Oryzias latipes: one gene and its partner. The protein of the gene in region 1 purifies or fractionates together with the protein of each later gene. This does not show direct contact. Links are inferred from orthologs where the notes say so. Each region holds a gene or a part of one and is shown in the gene's direction. Other genes may lie near its edges.

Region 1 (3,514 bases):
CTAACCTTTAACTCGGTGATGCAGTAGATATAACCGGTATTTTAAGATATTTAATGCTGGGTTATTATCTGCGCTTTTATTTGTTCAGTCAAGTCTACTCTGGACTTCTTTAGTCTGAGAGTTTCTGGTTTCTTCTTCCAAACTGGTGTTTTGGTCATATTTTGGTTTTGTCCTTCACTCAGCCTTGTCAGTCTGGCTGGACCTTCCAGCTGACCGTGTCCATGGCCCAACCAGCACACCTCCTCACCTCAGGCCGGCTCTAATGGCTGTTTTCAGGCAGGTCGGCCTTCTGTGTCACTCAGATGAGACGTGGCGGCCTCCCTCCTGCCCTTCAGGTCTCTCAGTCAGCCGTTCACCGCTGCAGCGACGCCCGTCTCCAGCAAGTTCAAATAAATATTCATAAAGCTGGGAAAATGATAAAACAGTAGTTCACACGCTAGGATTAAACAGAAGGATGAAATTTTTAATATCCTGAAAATGCTGAAATGAAATTTAAAACAGTTTTTCATTTACCGAATTCAAAATAGAATACAAATTAGAAGAGGACGTGTGGAAATACGTTTAGGTTTGGTGCTGAAACTGCTGAAAATGTATGTTTTTACAGCCTTTGATGGAATTTGAGCCAATAGTAACATTCAGTTCAGTAAACTTTATTAGTCCCAAAAGAGACGTGTATTGTTAGCGAACATTTCAGTAAAACGATCCATGCTACTCCTTATAGAGATTATTAAAGTACATTTTTTAATAACATCAGTTTAATAATGTGTAACTTGAATATCTGAGCCTGGTTCCTGTCAGAGTCCAGCTCGTTGAAGTTTCTGATTGGACGACAGCTCAGTTTGGGAGAAAGGAATGCTGCATGTCCTGAGTTGAAGCGTTTTTGTGGAATCCTTCTTCTGCTGAACTAACGTCAGAGCATCTGCTTTGTTTACAGAAACTCACCAAAGCTGTAATGACAAACTTCAGGTGTTTTCTGGTCTGACATGGTCGCTAATAGACGCCTTTCCTCTGTAGGGTCCTAAAAAGACCAACGCCAAGAAGGACTCCAAGGAGAAGAGGGAGAGCAACGAGGAGAGCAAGGAGAACCTGAAGGCCAAGTCGGACGATTCGGGAGAGGAGAAGAACGCAGACGCGTCTCAGAAAAACGGCCCAAAGAAGAAAGGTTCGGCTTTCAATCGATCTTAACCGTCATGGGAAACTTTCTGTTCACCTTCCAGGCTACATTTGTAGCTTCACCTACAGCTGTGTGTTTGAGTGGAGAAGGTCTCTAGGGGTGGAAACACCTTAGGTGTTTAGGGTTCAGTTAAATAACTGATTTATCCAATTGGAAAGTGCTAGATCACTTCATTAAATCTATTTCTTTCTTTCAAAGTTTTTCTTTTATTGTTTATGTTTTCAGATACAACTATTTATCTTTAAGTTTTAATGTAAGAATTTATCATTTTATTAGTCAGTGTTCCACCTTCAGTTGAAGTCACTAGCTGTATAACAATACGGTTTTGTAACCAGTTTATTAACAAAAACTAAAATTTGAATGATTAATCAGCAAGTTTCATTTAATCTTGACCTGAATCTAAGCTTGTCCTGTTTTTTTGGTAAGAGTCTAGGGATGTGATGTGTATCGCGATACATCCATAGACTGTACCGGAACAGTTTCTAAATATTTTTTTAAAAAAAAGTATGACTACCTGAATATTAACAGGCCTGTCATTGTCATAACGTGGTCAAATTCATTTTATGTAATGATCAAAACATTAAGCACTGCAACTGTTTCTCCTTTACGAGTTTCTTTTACCAAAGCCAATTCACAGTGCTTTTATTTTGGTAAATTAAGAAGATATATTTCTCCTTAAAGGCAACATTCAACACTGTCCGATTGACACGACAAAATATTTTTCAGTGTAAGAAAAAGTGCCTTAACCGATACGGTTCTGTAGGTAGTACATGTCTCATGACAACAAAGGCTGACTGAATGTTTAACACAAGCTGGTTCTGGTTGAGATCTAGTTGCTGTGGTGCGGCGTAGAGCTGCTCAGAGAGACTCGGTGTCGGGTGACAAGTCAGACACTGAAGGAAGCCTCATAAATTAAAATAAACAGTTTCTTAACACCATTTTAAATCCGATATAAGTATCGCCAAATGAAATATCGCGATATATCGCCAAATCGATTTTTCCTACACCCCTAGTAAAAACCAATTGCTAATGGTAAACACACAAAACAGTCAGAAATGCAAACACTTCGGTTCCTCCTCATGAGTCTCATCTCTTGATGCTGAACCTACGCAGAAAAGTTTAATTCGAAACATTCAAAATGTAAAGTTCATAGACTCTTGCTGGTTGTGTCTTGATTCCTTCACTACTTTATAGTGCGTTCACCATTTTGTTCAAACTTACAATTCCAATAAACAATACCCTAGAAATTTCCCAGAAGTCTCTGCAAAAAGCCATTGATCATCAATACTCACCAAATTGGTGAATATAGACCACAATGCATTGCGTTTGAACAATTTTTGTGAAGAAAAAAAAAGTATCATTTAGTTTTCATCATCAGAACATGATAGTTTTAGTAAAGTGTTCACATTTTTTAGGTTTTTGCTTCAGGAAATCGGTGACGTCAAAGTTTGCTTTAAAAAAAAAAAAAAAAAAAAGAAGTGAAGAAGGTGTCAAAATGGCTGGTTAAAATCCAGGGCACTAGATGGTCCCACACTACAGTTTGGAGTAGATGGGACTTCATGTGAGTGTTGTGGTGCTTGCTGTATGAAATGGCAGGGATTGTCCTGATGGGACAGTCTGAGAGAAGCTCCAGCTCAACTGAGACACTAAAAGCTTTAATGGTTGGAAAAATGAACTGTGAAGGATTCATGGATTCAGCAGAGGGAATCGGTTCTCCATTCTGTTGTCGGCGCTCAGACCCGTTTCTGAGGAAGACGGCGCAGCGGCTCAGACTTTTCCTCAGTTGGAGACAAACGTTCTGAAAGTTTTGACATATTTGGTGTTCGTGTTATTAGAGAAAAAACATGGACTTTGCGTCCTTGGAAGTTCAATGTCATTATTGCTCGAAATATTTACATGAACTCCATAAGAGGAGCGTGAACTCAGGTTCACGCTCCTCTTCCTCAAACAGATGAGCTGGTAGAAGGTGGTGATTGATCCCTGATTGCGGATCTGAATGAGCAGACTGGCTTTTCATCTCCAACAGAATACTATGGTGGCCCAGAAGTGCGAAAAACATTTCAAAGATCAGAACGGCAAAACAAATTTTTAAAAAACAACAATACATTTAAAAAGACAAAGCTAAGTTCCAGACACCAAAACGTGAAAAAAAAAAGCAAAAGTAATTTCCAGAAATCCAAATGAAATGTTAAAAATGAAACAGCATAAGAAACTGGAGAGGGTAGAGACGATGGGACATCACTGATTGGATGGTGACGTTTGTCCATCATTTAAATTGAAAGTTAAATGGCATTAACTGATACTGGTATCATCATCCAATCAGCCATGTCTCATACAGTG
Region 2 (4,060 bases), on another chromosome or scaffold:
ATGTTAGTTGTGTTCATTTAATGAAACATTTGAGCACATTTTTTAATCTCATTTTCGCGTCAGTGCTTCCGTGAAGTTTGTTCATGTATGACATGCACAACTCAAAGAGCATTATCCTATACCAAGGTCATTTATGAAAAAAAAATTTTTGTAGAACTTGTCCCGTTATATTTTTTCCTCTCTGAGGAAAGTGATCATTGTGAGAAGTTAAACAAAGCATAATTTTGGAGGGAAAGTTCACCACTTGGCGCTTGTTTTTAACCAGATGATAAAGCAAAAGTTTGTTTCAAAGAAACAAAGTCCAAAATCAAAATAGTTCAGTTCGTCCGGTGTTACCTCAGTGTTTCATTTCCTCCTAGTGTTCTGTTCTCTATTTCTCTTCTACTGGATTCCAGTCTTCAAAATGATCCAATTCACCAAACAGAATATATAATCACTTGTGTCTTTTTTACCATCTTACTAGTGTATAAACTGTGGAATAATGTACGTCAAATATGGTATCAATGAAAAGTTTGTGTTCAATATTTTCTGGATTGCTCAGAAAAGTGTTCTTGTTTTTGATGTGTTAAATAGAGTCTTCTGGACATAATCATTTGTTTTTGTTTTCTTTATTTTTCAAGAAGAAAATTCCCTTTGTGTAAAAGTAAAGGTTGGAAATCTGCTTCAAAACTTTATAAAGTCACTTTTTTTGTTGTATTTTGATCTATTAATGCGATACAATCTCAGAAATTTAAATGAAAATACTCAATAATGAGGCTTTTCACAGCAATTAAAAGGATACGAATAATTGTGATTAAAAATAGATTAATTAGTTAATAGCGGGTTAATTAATTGCACAAAATAACAAATTGCATGACATCATTAAATACATTACAGGATTACTACAGGGTTAATTTTTCAAATATATGTACCATATGTGTGGAATGTGGACCCATACTTTAAGAGCTTTTATTCCCTTTTCCCAGATTTTTTCCCAAAAGGATTGACATTCCAAAAACAGACCTTATTTCCCTTTTTTGTTGAGTTTTTCCAGTGCTTTTTCTCCTTTGGAGCTGTGTCCTGCCCCTCAGTTATCATGCAGGTGTCGCTGTGGGGAGGGCAGCTCTGTGGTTGGGGCAGGACAGTGCGCTCTCTCTTTTACACGCCGCGTGCTCGCCCCCCGCCCCCCTCCGCCCCCTCTCCTAAATTTGACCCTGGTCACTGTTTCGTCCACGCCGCTACCCTCTATAAAGTGCCCACGCTTCCCCGACACACTCTCTTTCCCCGGCCACAAATCAACCGTGAGTGTTTAACTCACTGTTATCGGGAAAAAAAAAACTTAAAATAAAAACAATATAAAAACAATAAAAGCTATAAAACATTATAAAAACGAGTACAATAATATTGAAATTTAAACTTTTAAAAAAATAGCAAAATATTAATTAAAAATATAAACAAGAGGCCTCGGGGTTTAACCGAAGGAGGATTTTTTTTGGTACATTTTTTGGGTTTCTCACTCAGAGATCTGTCCGCACCGAGCGCGTCTTGACCCGCATTCAAACCGGATTGCAGTTTTTTTCGGCTTTGGCAGATTTTCTTTTCTTTTTGGAAGTTTGGGAAATGAACACAGCGACCGGGAGTTATCCGATGGCTTCTCTCTACGTTGGTGACCTGCACCCTGACATCACGGAGGCTATGCTGTATGAGAAATTCAGCCCCGCCGGACCGGTGCTCTCCATTCGGGTATGCAGAGACATGATCACCCGGCGGTCCCTCGGATACGCCTATGTCAACTTCTCCCAGCCCGCTGACGGTAAGGAACCCCTGGGGGGTGGGGGGGGGGGGGATGAGCTCACCCACGTGGGGATCATCATGACTAATGAAAATGAATTTTATAAAGCTTTGCGCTTCCATTGAATTCTGTCTTCTTTATTTGAGACAGTCATTCATTATACCTATTATATCCACTTCCCAGTTCTTCACACACCACCTATGCTATGGCGATGCAAAGTCTCTGCAGTTCAGTTCACTACATTTTATTGGTATTTTAAAGGAATTCATGCATTTGAAACCATTATGTGCTTTAAAGTCTGTGTTTGTAATTATTGATCAATTATATGGAAAGCCATTACTGCAGTAAATCATTGTTGAGAACACGCTGTTTTTAAAATCTCTGCTGCTGATCCCATGAGTCAAAATAACAAGTGATATAATTATGTTAAAAATGAACACCTTCAAGCTAATTGCATCAGTTTGGGCATTCATAGTCAACTAGGGACACACAAAGGTTACTACTAGGCCACAGTAGTCAACTAGTACAAGAAAAAATGACTACTAGTTCTGTAGTACCAATAAACTAGCGGTTGACTGATATGTCTTACCCAATAACTAGTATGTAATCAAAGTTGTATTATTACTTAATGCGTAACACCACAGTTTTTTCTTCTCTTTTTGGTAAATAGTTTGGCTTTTTTGTCTACTACTAGATGACTTGTCCAAAACTTGTTTAACTAGTTCACACATTTATTTTTTTAAACATTTTTCAGTAGTAAATATTTTGACTTTCCTTTTTTATCTAGTTAGATGTCATCCATTGCTAGGAATGCTAAAACCATCAAGAATTCCTATTTACATTGATCTGAGTTGATTTGTACTCCTATTTTTTTTGCTGTTTTAACTAAATGGCTGGATAGCTCAGTTGGTTGTGTATAGGACCAGCGCATGGGAGGTTAGGGTTTGTTTCTCACGTGCTTCATCCACTGTGGGTTCTTGGGAAAGACCTTTCGCACTACCATGTAGCCACAACAGGGTCCAAGTTTGGTTCCCCCTGTGCCAGTCTTCAGCCTGGATATAATACACGGTTGTGTGAAAAAGGGCATTCGGCATAAAATTCTCCGCCAAACCACCTGTGCGACTCGGTGAAAGGGGTATGTCAAAAGGTGGACAACATAACTATACAGTGACCTTGTGGGTGGACAGACAACTTATTTGTATCTATTGTTACCTAAACAGCTTTAACATATGCAACAGTTGGTGCAAAGCAAATTGCTTTTGTTTTTGTTGCTTTGTTGCCTTTGGAATAAATAGGGGCGCTCTTAGCAGCGGTAGCGTGTGTTGCATTGGTCTTTCTAAGGTCCTAGTTATACTGTCTACACACTGTGAATGTTTCTCCTGTTTTATCAACAAAAACACCTGTGAGAGCAGCTGTCTCTGATGAAGGCGGTTGACCAAATACCAAGTAATGGATTACAACACCATAACTGACAGGTGTGAAATGCCCCACTGTTTTGCTGTTGATGTGGACACGGTAGAAGGGTGTAAATGTGGGGCAAAGTTCAAAGTGTAGAGAAGGAATATTTTGAGCTTTTTCATTGTTTTGTTGAAATATTATGTTTTATCCTCATGTTGGAAGTCTTCCCCATCAATAGCAAAGAATGGTGTACCCATACTCCAGCACATACCTCTCAGGACCCTTTTCTAAATATAGAACCTCACTCTGAGCAGGCCAAAATATGCCTGCTCTGTGATACTACAAACACAAATGGCAACAATAACTAGTTATTCAACACCATTAACATTTTCACCCTTGGATATTTCTGAATGTGTTTTTTTTTTTTTAAACAGCAAGATTTTCATTTTGAACCTTTCAGAGGTTCATGTGTTGAACAACAATTACACAAATTTTCTGAGCACACGGGTGGTGAAGTACAACTGCAAGCCAAACTGCTGATGCCAGCAGACGCAAGGGAGCTCCGTTTTGTTTACCAGACACTTTTAGCTGGAAAGCCTAGCCTGTGAGTGTGTGTGTGTGTGTGTGGCTCGCTGTGGAGGGACTGAACAAAAGGATGTTTGGCACGTGGACCCAAAATGACATGGCTGTTTAACCAATAGTAAAACAAAGGTATAGATTTCATAATTTTGTGTCTTAACAGTGCAGAAAAACGCAGAGACTGTAAAATGATCATCAAATCTAAAATAAATAAATAAAAACTCTTTAAAACCTGTTGAAATGGATGTTTGCCTGTGGCATTGGTAGTTAAGGGGGCACAGCAGCATGGGGTTTGTCAGAAACATGTGCTAT

The links. The genes of interacting proteins can lie anywhere in the genome.
Region 2: the proteins of larp1 (region 1) and pabpc4 purify together in Homo sapiens (affinity purification with mass spectrometry; 3 studies listed by BioGRID and IntAct, with this or other methods). This does not show direct contact. The link is inferred for Oryzias latipes from reciprocal best matches to the Homo sapiens genes LARP1 and PABPC4.

What each region holds. Positions count from the first base shown.
Region 1 is NC_019872.2:3,462,414-3,465,927, forward strand, and holds part of larp1 (la-related protein 1), read left to right. Parts: intron 1-1,014; coding exon 1,015-1,162; intron 1,163-3,514. UniProt on the Homo sapiens protein: RNA-binding protein that regulates the translation of specific target mRNA species downstream of the mTORC1 complex, in function of growth signals and nutrient availability.
Region 2 is NC_019880.2:16,809,044-16,813,103, reverse strand, and holds the start of pabpc4 (polyadenylate-binding protein 4), read left to right. Parts: upstream 1-1,246; 5' UTR 1,247-1,599; coding exon 1,600-1,792; intron 1,793-4,060.